3 linked regions of the Schizosaccharomyces pombe genome follow. Changing the gene in region 3 together with the main gene of any one other region gives a genetic interaction. Each region holds a gene or a part of one and is shown on either strand. Other genes may lie near its edges.

Evidence for each region. Genes that interact genetically often act in the same process or in processes that back each other up.
Region 1: mutations in pnk1 (region 3) and sum2 together harm fitness more than expected from each alone (negative genetic interaction), as found in Schizosaccharomyces pombe (2 studies listed by BioGRID).
Region 2: mutations in pnk1 (region 3) and apn2 are lethal when combined (synthetic lethality), as found in Schizosaccharomyces pombe (2 studies listed by BioGRID, with this or other methods).

The regions. Positions count from the first base shown.
Region 1 is NC_003423.3:265,470-269,957, reverse strand, and holds sum2 (translation initiation inhibitor), read right to left. Parts: upstream 2,503-4,488; 5' UTR 2,469-2,502; coding exon 2,416-2,468; exon of another isoform or gene 2,378-2,415; coding exon 2,319-2,377; exon of another isoform or gene 2,281-2,318; coding exon 2,099-2,280; exon of another isoform or gene 1,991-2,098; coding exon 1,004-1,990; 3' UTR 550-1,003; downstream 1-549. Other genes in the region: SPOM_SPBC800.14C (uncharacterized protein), read left to right, coding at 1-251; trm6 (translation initiation factor eIF-3 gamma subunit Gcd10), read right to left, coding at 3,060-4,353. UniProt on the Schizosaccharomyces pombe protein: Required for G2/M phase checkpoint control.
Region 2 is NC_003423.3:1,285,475-1,290,643, reverse strand, and holds apn2 (AP-endonuclease Apn2), read right to left. Parts: upstream 3,256-5,169; 5' UTR 3,239-3,255; coding exon 2,446-3,238; exon of another isoform or gene 2,409-2,445; coding exon 1,630-2,408; 3' UTR 1,494-1,629; coding exon of another isoform or gene 684-1,493; 3' UTR 550-683; downstream 1-549. Other genes in the region: U3 snoRNA associated protein Dip2, read right to left, coding at 1-80; SUMO-targeted ubiquitin-protein ligase E3 Slx8, read left to right, coding at 684-1,493; DNA polymerase epsilon subunit Dpb4, read right to left, coding at 3,699-4,039, 4,078-4,196, 4,329-4,501. UniProt on the Schizosaccharomyces pombe protein: DNA repair enzyme that cleaves apurinic/apyrimidinic (AP) sites and removes 3'-blocking groups present at single strand breaks of damaged DNA. Provides the majority of the AP-endonuclease (APE) activity. Repairs phleomycin D1-induced DNA damage.
Region 3 is NC_003424.3:2,135,483-2,141,381, reverse strand, and holds pnk1 (DNA kinase/phosphatase Pnk1), read left to right. Parts: upstream 1-1,914; 5' UTR 1,915-1,943; coding exon 1,944-2,484; exon of another isoform or gene 2,485-2,507; intron 2,508-2,537; coding exon 2,538-2,933; intron 2,934-2,972; coding exon 2,973-3,115; intron 3,116-3,171; coding exon 3,172-3,318; 3' UTR 3,319-3,440; coding exon of another isoform or gene 3,441-5,237; 3' UTR 5,238-5,348; downstream 5,349-5,899. Other genes in the region: ipp1 (inorganic pyrophosphatase), read right to left, coding at 1-853; mpp10 (U3 snoRNP-associated protein Mpp1), read right to left, coding at 3,441-5,237; rps23 (40S ribosomal protein uS12), read left to right, coding at 5,594-5,899. UniProt on the Schizosaccharomyces pombe protein: Catalyzes the phosphorylation of DNA at 5'-hydroxyl termini and can dephosphorylate its 3'-phosphate termini. Has a role in the repair of breaks in single-stranded DNA.

The DNA of each region.
Region 1 (4,488 bases), on a different chromosome or scaffold from region 3:
GTATATTCTCTTCAAAATTGTATGCTATATCGGCTTTATCTGGACTATGTATTATTCCTTTCACGCTTTTGTTTATGAAAAAGGACATTAACTCTTTACAAACGTTAAATCCAGATCTAATACTTAAAGATGTAAAGGCTACTCAAAATTTCCGCAGTATAATTCACAGATGGGGTTTTAAAAACTTATTTCGAAGCGCATTTATGTTTTTCTCTGGTTTAGCTTCAATCGCTGGATCAATTTACTTTTGATAACAAAACATAATTGTAATGTATCGTTTACGTGTTAACTCTTGCGTTCCGATATTCGTTGATGATCAAATAATATTAAGTTCTAATTTTTCTACTGCTGATTATTAAAACACTATATCACGTAGTTAAGTTCGTGAAATTTAAACTATTAAAAAATGCTAAAATTAAGAGAGCACATTTTTATTTTTAAAACGATTCGCTTATAAATTGTTCATACTGCTCAAACATTGTTGTTTGGATTCTATAGTTTGTCAGCTTCAAACAAGTCGACTGAATCAAATTTTTACAAAACGCTTTTCAAAAACGAAACGACTGTTGAAAAACACGGGTTGTTCAATGTTCAGTCATGCAACCAGCGATGCTTTGGGTCTATCAAGGTGTATAAAAGAATAAACATTAGCGGATTGGTTAAGTCTTCAACCTTTTGGTAATTATATGTAACCCATTAACATTTATTCGTAATACCTTTACGAAATCTCGGTATAGGATATCGTTTCAATGCTTGTTCTTCTTGCGTAATACATGAGCAGATAAGTATAGTTTTTAAAGCACTCTACAAGAACTTAACAAAACTCCTAAGTTAAATATCAAATAACAACGACTAATCCTTTTGGTTTATATAAGAGAACACCTTTTTTCGGGTCGTTAAATACATGTCCATAAATTTTGAGTTCATCATGATTGAAACGAAGACGAAGCTCAATCTAGAGAAACGAGGATACTTCATCTGTACTCATTATAAGAAATGCAGTTCATTGGTCGTTTGCAGGCTGGGCTCTAGGTTGAGAGCCATTGGAATTCCTGTATTGGTTATATTGATTTCTTGCATATCCACGTCCACGACCTCTACCACCACGTCCACGACCACGTCCACGACGGCCGCGATTTCCAGAGCCAGCAACGCCAAATGTCTCCATGTTCAAAGAACGTTCGCGATCTCGTAGAGCTCTTCTATCTGCAGCTTCCATACCCTTCTCTTTACTTTCACAACTAATATTATCAAAAAAAGATTGCTTAGGCTTGTAAAATTCTTCGGCTTCTTCATCATTTTTTCCTTTTAACAAATCATCTTTCATCGATTGAAACTTTTGATTTGCAGTTTGAAAGTCAAATTCGGTACGAGGCTTTGCAGCACTAGCATCAGGTTGAGTTGTAGGAACTTCTTTAGAAGGTCCAGATGTTTCAACGGTTTGGGATTGAGAGACATCCACAGTAGTATTCACAACACGGTCATTTGTGACAGTGGAATTCCGTATACTAGTACTTTCTTTTTCAATAGATGCTTCAATGGAGGGCTGTGCACCTGGTATCACTCCATTCGTGGGCGGCATGGATTGAAGAGACGGAGATGCAGATACCGCGGTAGGACCAGGAGCAGGCATGCCCGGAGCAAAGTTGGGAGGCTTCTGGTTTGAAGGCATTCCGTATCCAGGACGTACGTTGTACGGGGCCTGACCGGCAAACCCTTGAGAAACATTTTGAGCAAACTCAGGACGTTGACCCATTTGCTGTTGATCAGGTGCCCCATAATACGGGACCGCAGGTGTGGATGCGTCTAAGGGAGTACCCAAAGGCAAACCTCCAGGAGGTACAAATTGAGCGGGAGCATTCGGGTACATATAGTAAGGTGCACCTGCTGGAGGAGCCTGTTGGTATGGAGCTCCATAAGGGTTAGGTTGAACAGGCTGAGGAGGTTGGGCAGTCTGCGCTTGGTTCCAATTATACTGCCCGCTATTAGACTAATTATAGTTAAAATCATGATCTTGTCAGATATATAAAGAGTGCCAAAGATAATTAATACTAGATATACTAATGAGAATCTCCACCACTCTTTAGACGTAACATACCCCAATAATTGCAGGATCATTAGGAGGTTGAACCGGGGGAGCAGAAGGAGTAGTAGCAGGTTCCTCAATCCGTAAATCTTTAACATCGCTTCCACGAAAAACAATGTAATCAAATACATTATCTGATGGGGGGATTTCTTGAGAGGGATCTTGTTTTCTTCCTTCAGTACCACACCAACGGACTAAACTGTTAGTAATCAATGCTGGGTACTCAACCTACCATGCTTCAAAGCCAGTGTTGAGTCCTGGGAATTGATGTCCTGCAAAATGCCCACATAACTAAATATTAGTAAAGGAAAGATAATGCTCTCACGTACCGAATGTCAGATTTGCTAATTAGACTAATACGAGAACCAATAAATTCAGTCATTGGTTATAAACTCGACGAAGTAAAGCTTAGTGGTGAAAGGAGCGTGGTTAGGTGTCCTTTCGAAATTAACGAACTTGGCGATAGCGCTAGTATGGGGTTCATTATACCGAGTAAATAAGACCAAAATGCGACATTGTCATTTATAAGCTGTTTTTTCATCAGTTTTTATATTTATTTAAAATTAACATGCTTAAGATCAAAAAGGCTATCCACAGCTGCTCTGACCATGTACTACTTATTTTACTTAAATACGTATATGTGCAGCAGTCAAATTGTAACTAATTTTATACTTATTACAAGTAATCTATTTTTAAAAAGAATGAAAATGCCAAGCAAAAGACACTGTACTTTAACGCTCTTCAAAATTGAGTTAACCTGAAACCGCACCGTCAATTACATTATCCAACTAACATATTCATTTTCTGATACGTATGAAAATTTTAAGTTAAAGAATGAAACAAAAAACTTTTTAATATAACAAAAACCTTTTCCCAATTCAACGTAACTGAGTTTATGTCCAAAATTGTAACTCCCCTTGTTGATCTAATAGAGTAGCCTTGAAAAAAATATTCCAAAAGTAATATTTCATATCTAATTTTCCAATTTTGCTTTTTTGACAGAAGAAGTTTCTTTCTGGCCCTTACGTTTTGGAAACCTTCCGGCAGCTAGATTGCTGTCAGAAGTTAACACCTTGATCCCAGATAAAACGAAACCCATATCACCCCTAACAGTCATGAATGGATGAGTCCTTTCTGGCAAGACTTGGTAAGGTCGTGTACGAATCTCATGAATATCCAGCATGATGACTTTCTCTTTCTGTGTATCAATAGCAACGTCTCCTTGATCAACCTTTTCGTCATTTTCAGTACTTTGAGCTGTCTTTTCTACAAATAAGTTATCCCATTTAGATAATTGATGATACGTCTCGACTAAGACTTGCTGATATGTTGAGTATACCATGAAAGGACGTGATATACCGAGCTTTGGAAGAAGATGTTGAAGAACAGACATTGGGGTGTGAATAGATAGTATAAAGAGAGCATCATAGTTACCACTTTCAAAATCATCAATAGTATTCTTCAAACGGTTAAATGTAGCTTTCTTCGTTTCATAGCGCTTACGGTGGCGAAGTTTCATCTCATTCAACTCTGATTCAGGAATATCTTCAACCGAATACTCACTTAAAGTCTCGGTTGGATTCGTAACTTGATACCAATTCAAAGTTTTCAAAATCCCTTTTTGAACCAAACTATCCTCTTTAAAGTCTTGCCCCCAATACTCTAAACAAGAGCTATTAGGTTGCTCATTTGGATGGACCAGGGTTATTTTGCAATCACCAGCAACACGGTCAATAAGAGAACCAAGGAACATGCATCCAGTCTCATCAACTACCAAATATCTACCCCCAGGTTTAACATTTCCAAGAGTAAGCATCAAGCTTATACACTCGGCAGTAAGATCAAGTATCTTATACGGATCATGTTCAATCATGTAATTAGCCACAACTTCAACACAAGGTCGTAAAACCTGAAAGCGTTGAAGATACTTTTCCCCTTTTCTCGTAACATATTTCTCCTGAGCAAATAAAGTTTTTTGCTCAAAAGTTTTACTACTATTAGTCAACTGTTTGATGGCCTCTTCAGCACGAAGTCCACCAGCTTTAATGTTTGCGCGCAGTTCATCAATCTCCTCTTGAGTCATAAGCTGATTGCCTCGACAATCATTAAGTTCTTGATTCGTTTTCTTTTCTTCCTCGATATACTGTACCTCCCTTGTTTTTAAAACTCGAATTTTTTTGGGTTGATAAATTTCAAAAGTTTCGTCAAAATGCTTTCCAAACAAATCATCAGCGAGAAATGAACCAAATTTTCCGAGGTGAATTGTACTATTTAATATAAAGTCAGTAAGATCAATATGAACGAGATAAACTAGATCACCTCTATCTCCTTATGCAAAAAACAATTTCAATTGCTATCATTGAAAATGTACTTTAAATTGTAAATTAAGATCCTCATACTTA
Region 2 (5,169 bases), on a different chromosome or scaffold from region 3:
TGACCGAGAATATTACATCCCGAAGACGCAATGACACCAAAAAATTCGGTTGGTTCGTACCGCGTATAGCTTTTGACCATTGCGTCTACCCAGACCTAGATTAAAAAAAAGGCGTTGGTTGATGCTAAGTATATACACTCCTCTAATATTCAACAATTTGGAAAAGAAATAGCGATATACATTGTTATCGTTTTTTTATTTTAGCATTCCTTAATGCACTCCATAATACATTTTTGCATAGTTTATGGAATACTCATAATAATGTCGGTTGCGCAGTTTAATGAACTGCATTGAAAAGATTATTGATACACAATTAAGTTTTACCAGCTTTTCTGTTCTCTTTTCTTATTTGAAATACCGCTTGCGCTATTGAATGTGCTCATGAAAAAGGTCATAAATATTAATTAGACTAGCATCTTACAACATTGTGGTAGTGAGCCAATTTTTCCATGTAGACTTCAAAAATCATAGGTCTACTAAATTTAATTTTAAACTTGTTGGCAAGTTGCCAAAATAATTGCTGTTTGCGTATATTGACGTTAACACAATTCTCTTTTATTATTCTAGCAAGCCTGAAAAGCATTTGACAATCGATTAGGATACGATCAAAATTATCCTAATATTAGCCCATTAATCAATAATCTATAAACTATTTTCGAATTTCAGGACCAATTGGCAAAAAAATGCCACCCGCACATAAGAGAGATACCAACGTTAGAAACTTATCTGCACCATACAATATCCCATCTCAATCCGCTAGAGTCGCAGCTGGAAATGCAGCAATAAATAGGAGACGTTCTTCTCCAGTAGAGAATTCGCCAGGAAACGGATTTCCGGTTTCAGAAGATGCAACAGACTATCCTTCAGGCACTACCTCTGAGAATGAGTCTTTACCACTGAATCGTGCACCAAGGTCGCTAAGAGAGGTTGCTTCGGAGCTAGCACAAGAAGAAACACTACCTGTTGAAACCTCTGATTTAAACATAGATGTGGAAAGTGAAGTATTCGACTTGGAAGACATTAATTTTCAGAATGATGCTGATGACATAAATCAAAGATTCACCTACAACAATCATCCAGCTTCCGTTGAAAACAGTTTAACAAATGTTAATAGTATTCACGCGCAACCTACTACTATAAGCGATATGATTGATTTAACTGATGAGACTTCCTATGATCCAAGAAAACAAAAATTTGAACAGGGAAAGAACCCATCGACCACCAACGCCGAAATTGAAAAAGAAGAACCTAGCAAAAAACAGGTTGTTCCATCTTCACAACGACTAGCTGATTATAAGTGTGTAATTTGTCTGGATAGTCCGGAAAACCTATCTTGTACTCCCTGTGGGCATATATTTTGCAATTTTTGTATACTAAGTGCTTTAGGTACAACGGCTGCCACACAAAAATGTCCGGTGTGCAGAAGAAAAGTACATCCAAACAAAGTTATATGTTTGGAAATGATGCTCGGATCTCAAAAAAAGAAATCTTAACCGTACAAAATTCCGTATATACATATTAAGAATGTTAATGAAAGATGTGTGATGCACTGCTCAATGCTTTTTGCGGTTTATACACATCAAAATTGAGAATTGATTAAGAGCAAGTTATGCTAGTCATTACAAATTTTCAGTCCTTTGAATTTGCTCTCCAATCTGAGTCCCAGATAAAGAACCTGCATTGGAACGGTTGAGTATCTTCCTCAGAAACTGCATTTGAGTTTTTAATCAGTTCACCAACCGGTCTGGCACAAATCCAAAACTTCCGCCCGTAATTGATTCCCGGCTTCCTCACTGTCAAATACTTGCAAGGTTCCTTGTGACCCTCACAAAGTGGAGGAGCTCGTTCACTGAATATTTGCTTCCAGGCGTTCCCGTTTTCTACTTTTTTTTTTACTGTCAACCCTATGTCAGATTCATTATTGTTATCAAGGACCTCAATCGAAACGTCTTCTGTTTTATTGGTTTCTTCTTTCTCTTCCTTTTGCTTCGCAAAAAATGAAAGAAGCTTCGATTGTTCTTTTCGTCTTCTCTTTTCCGGTGGGTAGGCATCGACGTCTATGACAGAGTTTGCACGAGAAACAGTTGGTGAGGAGCCGCTGGACGCAGAAGCAGATACGTTTTCGCTCTGAGTGGGTGAGTTGTTTTTATTCTTTTTCATCGAATTGAAATGTTGGAACATTGAATGAATATTTTTTGATGGCCGATAGGCTGAATGATGCGCCGTTGATAGTAAAGGTGGTTCTTTTGAGTGACTTAGAAAGTTGGACAACTTTTTTCCTTCATATTCTTCTTTTAAATCTAAATATACGGGGCAATGATCTGAACCCATGACCTCAGCCATAATATCTGCATCTTGAACCCAAGGTAATAAATCGGGTGTTGCCAAAGTGTAATCAATTCTCGTACCTATCCATTGTAAAAAAAATAACAATTCAGAACTTACCATAATTTGTGGGCCTTGTATTAAGTCTTGTATTCCAACATGTAAACATTCCTTTCCGAGTAGGATGTTGAATACGGCCAATGTCCAACAGTAGTCCCAACCTGCTTGGTAGTAATAAATCACGTATCCATTGTCTTGATTCCATGATGCTTGGAATAAGACTCTCTCGAATAATGTCTTTTTGATCAGCAGTGTCAATAGGATTACACAAAATATTCACATCCCCAACGAGAATGATTTTTCGATTTCCTTCCTTTATCAATCTTTCAATTCTTTCTCGTAAGGCTTTATAAAAGGCCCGTCGATATTCTAGTCTATTTTCTCCAGAGTTTACTGGACAGTAAACACCGATTAGGATGAACATCTGAAAATCTAATAATATACACCTTCCTTCACTATCAATCCAATTAGCAGTTTTTCTGTCAATGTCTTTTGGGAAAAATCCTATCTTTTCATGCTCCGGTGCTTCTGAATATGAATATTTTTGTCCTCGTACTGGCAGGATGCCAGTAATTCCCTCTTCTGCTTTCACTGGAATAGCAACATCTTTTTTTACATAAAATCCAACCCCACTATAGCCTTTTCTGATCTTAGGAAATGTAAAATAACTGTCGAATCCCTCAACAACTGCATATTGTTGAGGAAAGCTGTCTTTCTGCATTTTCAATTCTTGAACACATATTACATCAGCCTGTAACTCTTGAAATATCTCTTTGTAGGAATTTTTTTTATTCCATGGAAAATAATTGAATGGATTCTGTATACCGTTCACATTCCAACTTAGAATTCGCATTCTTATAATTTTTACGTAGAGAAAGTGTGCGAAGGTAAAGGCGACAGACTTTTGAATTTACAATTGTTGACATAAGTTAATCTGATGGAAAATAAAATGCATTTGTTTAATTCGAGAATGAACTTTTTCTTTTCTTTTCGACCTTCTCCCTATTGAATGTTGATTTTCAAAAAAATTCTAGATTGACTAATATTGAGTTACAACTGTAAACAATCTAATGATTCTTTCTAAATATATGTCATTAAACGAGTATACATGTTGTGCTAGAAAGACATTATCTCAAACTGCTGTTTAAAAAAGCTATGTTTGGATACAAGGATGTAAATTGGGGTATTAACAGGTATCCAAAAAATCCATTAAAAAATAAAGAAGGTTTAGTTTTTCGTGTAAAAAAATATGATTAGCTCTCCATGTAAGTTAGGACTATTGACAATCTTCATATACATTTAACCAACAGTAATTACGAAGAATCATTAAGTTGAAGAGATTCTTCTGAGTCGGATTCAGAGCTATCTTCAATTGGGTTTCCCGTAGCATCTGTAAGATGAATGGTTTCTATTTGAGGAGATTCTGCGTTTGCGTCTAATGTATCATTCACTTCTTCGAGGTCCTCCACATCATCAATATTTTGCTCAACTTCATTTTGTGCTATATCCTCCGCAATTCGTTCTTCTTCTAATTCGTCTTTTTCTTCATCTAGAGGAGTAGTGTCATGCGCGTCTATTTTGGCTTTCTTTCTGTTATCAACATCTGATACGTTAGGGAGTTTCAATCGTTTTTCTTTCAAGGCAAGCTCATATGCTTTAATAGTTAGAAGAAGTACAGAGTAAGAAACATACCTTCGAGATGTTTTTTTAACGTTTTAGAGAATTCTGGATACTCAATTTCATCGAGCGCATTCAAAACGTCTTGAGGCATAAGAATTTTTCTGTTATTATTCGTAGCAATTTCCCCAGAACTAAGTAACGTTAGTCTTTATTCATTCATATACAAAGTGTTTCCAGAAGAAAATAAAATTGGCAATTATATAATAAATTCTTTCATCATACAAGCCCTTCAATATGGTTATATAGTTATATAGATTACATACGCGGATGTTAGAAAACTAACAAAAAGAGTTGCTGAATTGATCATAGCCTTGAGAGCTTCTTTTTGTACAAGACTCTTTTCAGGTAAGACACCTTTGACTAATCGCATAATGATCGATCGAGGAAGCGCCAGATCATCCAATTCGGAAGTTTCTTTCGATTTATCTTGATTCATATTGATTTTCCAGCCGCTAGATCTTTTACAAACGCTGTATACAAGTCTTTTATAAATCCAATCCAAATATCATCCTATGGTCACCAAACGATAATCACAGAGAAAGGCGGTTGCTTCTTTTTAGCTAATTAATGTATAATAAATTCACTGAGTCGCCTATTTCTGTCAATTTTCACTAAACACTATCTGTGCGTTATGAGCAGAATCCGAGAGAGCCTTAGAGTTGAAACATTTGTAGAAATGCTATCAAATTTCTTAAAACTAAATAGTTGTACTGTTTTGTTTATATTAAATGAGTAAAAAAAAAAGTTTTTTAGCGTTGTTAGAAATAAATAAAGCTTTTTGATAACCATACAATACATTATTAAAGGCTCGATTTTTGATTGTAATTAATAGATAAAAACAACTAAATTTATTATCTTTTTTCAGAACACTCCAAAAACGTTCAATGAACGTTCTAAGAGAATAATAGGCAATCTCTTCTCAGTCGAAATAGCTCAGAATAGGGATATTACAAATGGGATTGGCAACATTTTTACAAGTTCGATTTTGGAATTGATAAAAATCATCAAATTATTTATTTCTGTTCTTCGCAAAATGTTGAGCCTTTCAATGAACTAATCCGCTTATGATGCTGAAAAATTGTTAGGTAGCTTGAGTATAATTAG
Region 3 (5,899 bases):
AAATGTAGAACCATTTGTGAACGCTGGGATCAACAGGAGCAGGAGCGAGCTCTTGAGCAGGAGGAATAGTGCTGGAAACGGAAGGGTCATTGGCAACAGATCCAGTGACTGAAACATTGACCAAAGAAAAGTCAGACTTGGCATCAGTCTTACCGGTAATAAGGCGCTCCCAAGCTTCATTGCACTCACGAACAACTTCTTCAGCATACTTACGGTTCTTGCATTCACCACTGAAAGCAAAGGAATTTTCAGGCTTGCCATCGGGGATCTTGTAAATGCGGAACCACTCGTTAGTAGCACGGATTAAGCCAGGCATATGACGTTCAACATCCTCAATATCATTAAGCTTAGGAGCTAAAGGGTCATTAACGTCGATGACAATAACCTTCCAGTCAGTCTCACCCTCGTCAAGAAGGGCCATAACACCCAAGACCTTAACTTGCTTGACTTGGCCGGTGTAGCCACGAGCTTCACCGATCTCACAAACATCGAGAGGATCGCTATCACCCTTGGCCTTGGTTTCAGGATGAACAACATTAGGATCCTCATAGGTTTGAGGAAAAGCACCGTAGTTCCAAATGTAACCGTGGTGAGGAAAGCAGTTACGAACGAAACGAAGCTTACCCTTCTTAGTATCTTGCTTGATAGGGTTCAAGGTAGCTTCCTTGGTAATTTCAAGCTTAGCCTGAGTCCAACGAGGGATCTCAACGACCATGTTCAAGATGGTCTTCTCAGCATTGGCATACAAGGGGATATCGTGCCAAGAAGAGATAGGAGTACCATTTTTCTCAACATAGACTTGGTAGTCCAATGTGTTCAAAGCGCCAACTTCACGGGTAGTGTATTCACTCATGACTGAAAAGTGTTTTTGGTTAAGTACAGGTTGCAATGTGCACTAATTCGCAACATCTGCTACAAAATTTGTAACTCAATGTATACAAAAAATCTTATATTAATTTATAAAATTTTCTAAGGAACAGGTTTATATTTTTAATATCGCATGTTTTTATTTTATACAGCATAAAGATGGATTTGTGAATCTTACATAGGGTAATACTGTTATAAAGTTACTTTCTTTAGCAATACTTTATTAAATGATTGATAGTAAAGGAGATTTCCACAACATGATAAAAATTTAGCACAAATAAATTATTAAAATTAAATTGTTTTACGAGAATTTATCAATTTTTTATATTAAACACAATCAAAGATATTTATTAGCCTTGTATGCAGGTTTCTTTTCTGTCGATATGGATCTTGTGGAATACTGATTTTGCGATCAGTAAATTCTTGGCTGATGCAGTAGAAGCCATAATGTTTATATAAAAATATACGAAATATTTAAATTAATTAATTATGGAAATTTTTGTTTTTAAATTCCAGATCAGCTACTAAAAAAGATAAATGACAAACGAAAAAATAATGCAAAAAAAAGCTCATACATAAAAACAAAATATTGCCGATGTCCTTCATTTTTTGTTTAAAAATAAACGGTTTAATTTTAAACGATACCAAAAAAAAAAAACTAATGTTCGTAAATAACGAGATATGCAATTGTTAATGAATAAGATGTAGGTCTCAAATATGTTATTTGTGAAATCTTTGAATGGTTGCCAAATAATAAATTAGACGAATAAATTAAAGAATTTTCTTGTTATTTATTGTCTAAATTTCTTCGAATAAGAATTATTTTCAAGTCAGTAAACATATTAAATCTTCGATTAAGGACTATATGATATAATATATCTTCTCACTAATTGTTGTATATGAGGCATTTTATGTAATTGATCAAAAACAATTGAAAATTCAATAGAGCGAAAAATAAAATTTTCATCTGTTATCCATTTTTAAGTATGTTATTGAAACCACCCATTTTCATTGCTATGCAATTATAATATAGCTAACTCAATTACCAAGTCCCATTTAGTATTTCGTCAATCGCGATGTCGTCGAAAAAAAGAAAGTCTCCCCCCCAGGAATCTTTAACTTCATATTTTGAAAAATCGTCTAAATCCTCAAAAAAGTACGGCTCTCAAAACAAAGATTCTGATTCATCCTCGACATGCCTTCAACAGAAAATAGAAATTCAATGGAGCATCACCGATTCATTATACATAGCAAAGTATGGAAAACTAAAAAAGACTAAAAAATTTATTGCATTTGATTTAGATGGAACGCTCATAAAAACTAAATCTGGTAGAGTATTTTCAAAAGATGCAGCTGACTGGACCTGGTGGCATCCAAGCGTTGTCCCAAAATTGAAGGCTTTATACCAAGACAATTATTCTCTTGTTATTTTCAGTAATCAAAACGGAATTCCAAGAAAACCTTCTGCCGGACATACCTTTCAGATGAAGATTCGTGCTATTTTTGAGTCATTAGATCTACCTATTGTATTGTATGCTGCCATCTTGAAAGATAAGTTTAGAAAACCATTGACAGGAATGTGGAATTCCTTTTTAAAAGACGTGAACCGTTCAATTGGTGAGTTGACGCTTGTAATTTATCAAGGCCTATTAACATTTTTCACCCTTTAGATTTATCTTTCATCAAATACGTAGGTGATGCTGCAGGCCGTCCGGGTGATCATAATTCAACTGATTTAAAGTTTGCTGAAAACATTGGGATTAAATTTGAGACGCCCGAGCAATTTTTCTTGGGGCATTCATTTGTGCCTCCAAACTTTGAATCATTTCATCCAAAGAATTACCTTGTAAGAAATTCTTCTTCACATCCATACCATTTTAAAAAATCCGAGCATCAAGAAATTGTTGTTTTAGTTGGGTTTCCTTCTTCTGGGAAGAGTACTTTAGCTGAATCTCAGATTGTCACTCAAGGATACGAAAGGGTAAATCAAGACATCTTAAAAACGAAATCAAAATGCATCAAGGCTGCCATAGAGGCACTTAAAAAAGAAAAATCGGTTGTCATAGGTATGTACTCGATCATTTCAACGACTTACGCGATTTCAGACAACACAAACCCTACAATAGAATCACGAAAAATGTGGATTGACATAGCCCAAGAATTTGAGATCCCTATACGCTGCATTCATCTTCAGTCATCTGAGGAACTTGCCAGACACAACAACGTTTTCCGTTACATTCACCATAACGTAAGTTACCTGTTGGAGCATTAGAAAGACTTAGAAGAATTCCTAACCAATTCTAGCAAAAACAACTTCCCGAGATAGCGTTTAATTCTTTCAAATCTCGTTTTCAAATGCCAACAGTAGAAGAAGGTTTTACAAATGTTGAAGAAGTTCCTTTTAAATGCCTTAAAGACTATGAAGATACATGGAATTATTGGTACGAATAATACGAATGATATCTAAGAAATTATTAAATTGCATTAATTTCAAAAATATATAGTTATTGATCCCACTAAAACCAAACGTTTATAAAAATTATGACTAGCACACTTAACACCGAAATTTATCTTCAAAGCTTTAGCTGATTTGAAGAAACAATCGGATGATATTTGTTTGAATTACTTGCAACCTTTTTGCGCTCACCTCCTTTACCAATGACCTCAACATTCGATTTTGATAATTGACGAACGACTTGTTCAGTACCGGAATTCCTTCTTTTCTCAGCCATTTGCTTACGTTTCTCAGCATGTTTTCTACGCACCCGCCTGCGGCGTGCTTGCTTTTGTTGGTGGTCCATTTCAGTCGATGAAATGGCGATACCTGACCGAGTAATAGTTTCACCTTCACGATTCTCATTAGACGGTTTATAAACTTCTTGAGGAGCCAATGCCATAGTGTCAGAGGCAGCAGTTGGCTGAACGTCCTCCATTGCTAAAGTGGGTGCATTAGAAACAATTTCAACAGTAGACTCAGGAGGAGGGGGAACATAATGCCAAGAAGCAAGAGAATCTAAAGTGCGGCTGACTTCCGAAAACAATGCCTTGATTTCTTCATGTTCTTTTTCTTTCTTTTTATCAGCTTCACTCTTATATGTGTCGGCGTTGCTCTTTTTAAGGAATTCTTCTTCATATTCTTCTGCTAAAGAACGCTGAGACTTATTTTCGTTTAACTCGAATAATTCGCTTGGTCGAAATTCAGTAACAGCAACTGGCGCGCGTTTAGGTACATCATCAAATGTTTTGGAAATAATTCGGTTTTTAATTAAATCTTCTAATGTCTCAGTAGTCTCTTCCGTTTGTACAGGGACAGGTTTAGCACCAGTTTCAAATTCCAAATCAACGTCTAACAGTGAATTAGAAGGTCGTCCTTTAGACGTTGCCTCCCCCATCATGGTCCAGGACTTCTTGGCAACGTTTTCAGCCTCGAGCTCACGAATTTGCTGAGTCAAACGGGCTTTATCGCGCTCATAAGAAGATAATTGATCAGCTGAAACATCGTCTTCTTCGTCACTAGCAAATAAATCTTTCTTCACTCGATCAAAGGTAGCATACTCATTGTCAGAGCTCTCATTATTTTCTTCAATAACATTTTGTTGCACATCATTTTTGAAATCCGGTTTACTTGTTCTTTTTCTTTTGGATTCGGCCTTTTTCTTTTTTAGTTCACGGCGACCGGCCGCTGTTTTTGGACCAAAAAAATCTTCGTACATAATGGAGTCAGCCTGAGGACCATTTGATTCATCTTCAGAGTCTTCCATATTCTCATCGGGATCCATTAACAAGTCAATACCGTCATCTTCATCGCCGAGGACACCCTCTTCGACTGCTTCCTCTTCTAAAGCTAAGGTTTGCTTGTTAAAATTATCAATATCAAAAAAACCATCATTAAGTCCAAATGCGTCTTTTTTCTGTTCGATTTGTTGTCCTTCTTCATTCATAATTTCAGCTTCATCTCCTGAAACATCTTCGGCAGAACTTTCGTCGACATCTTCTAGATTTTCTGGACCAGAGAACCCTAAAAATTCATCATCAGCATCATCCCGATTGTTCATTTCACTATTGTCAGAGAGTTCCTGATGACTTGTTTCATCATCCTCATCCTGGAAAGAAGTAATGCTATCTTCTTCTTCGTCTTCGTTTTCAACATCAACTTGAGGGAGATCATCTAATGCATACTTGGCAGCTAATGCTAGTTGGTTATATATTTGCCAATTATCTAATCCTTTTGTGACAATTGTTTGGATGGGACTTGTAGATGGGATTTTTATATTTGAGAAAACCTCAATAGCTTTTTCAACCAATTGCTTTGAATCCTCTTTATTCGGGAACAAAAAGAGTGTTGGCTCGGAATTTATAAGTTCAGTCATATCAAATCTTTTTTTTTTTTTAAATCTCACAAAACTTTGACTAAATATCTTGGAAGTATTCCAAGTACGAAACAAATAAATACCAATTGAGCTTAAATATTACACACCAAACCTTTTGCAAAGTACTTGCAACTCCTTTTTCCAAAATAATCAAAAAGACGTATGTTTTTTGTTTTAGATGTTTTTTCTTTTTTGTAATGTAGTAAAATTTTAGTAAGTATGGGCATCAACAATTTACTTAGTGAAGCGTTGCGTACTATATTATATAAGAAGGGTAGGGTTTGTGACTGTTTTGGACATAAAGCTAAGTTCACCTAAATCCAACACACAGTTCGCCGCAACCTCTATACTACAAAATGGGAAAACCCGCAGGATTGAACGCCGCTCGTAAGCTTCGCAATCATCGCCGTGAGGAGCGTTGGGCCGATGCTCATTACAAGAAGCGCTTATTGGGAACCGCTTACAAGTCATCACCTTTCGGTGGATCGTCTCATGCTAAGGGTATCGTTGTCGAAAAGATTGGTGTAGAAGCTAAGCAACCTAACTCTGCTATTCGTAAATGTGTTCGTGTTCAGTTGATCAAGAATGGTAAGAAAGTTACCGCTTTCGTTCCCCACGATGGTTGTCTCAACTTCGTTGATGAAAACGACGAAGTTCTTCTT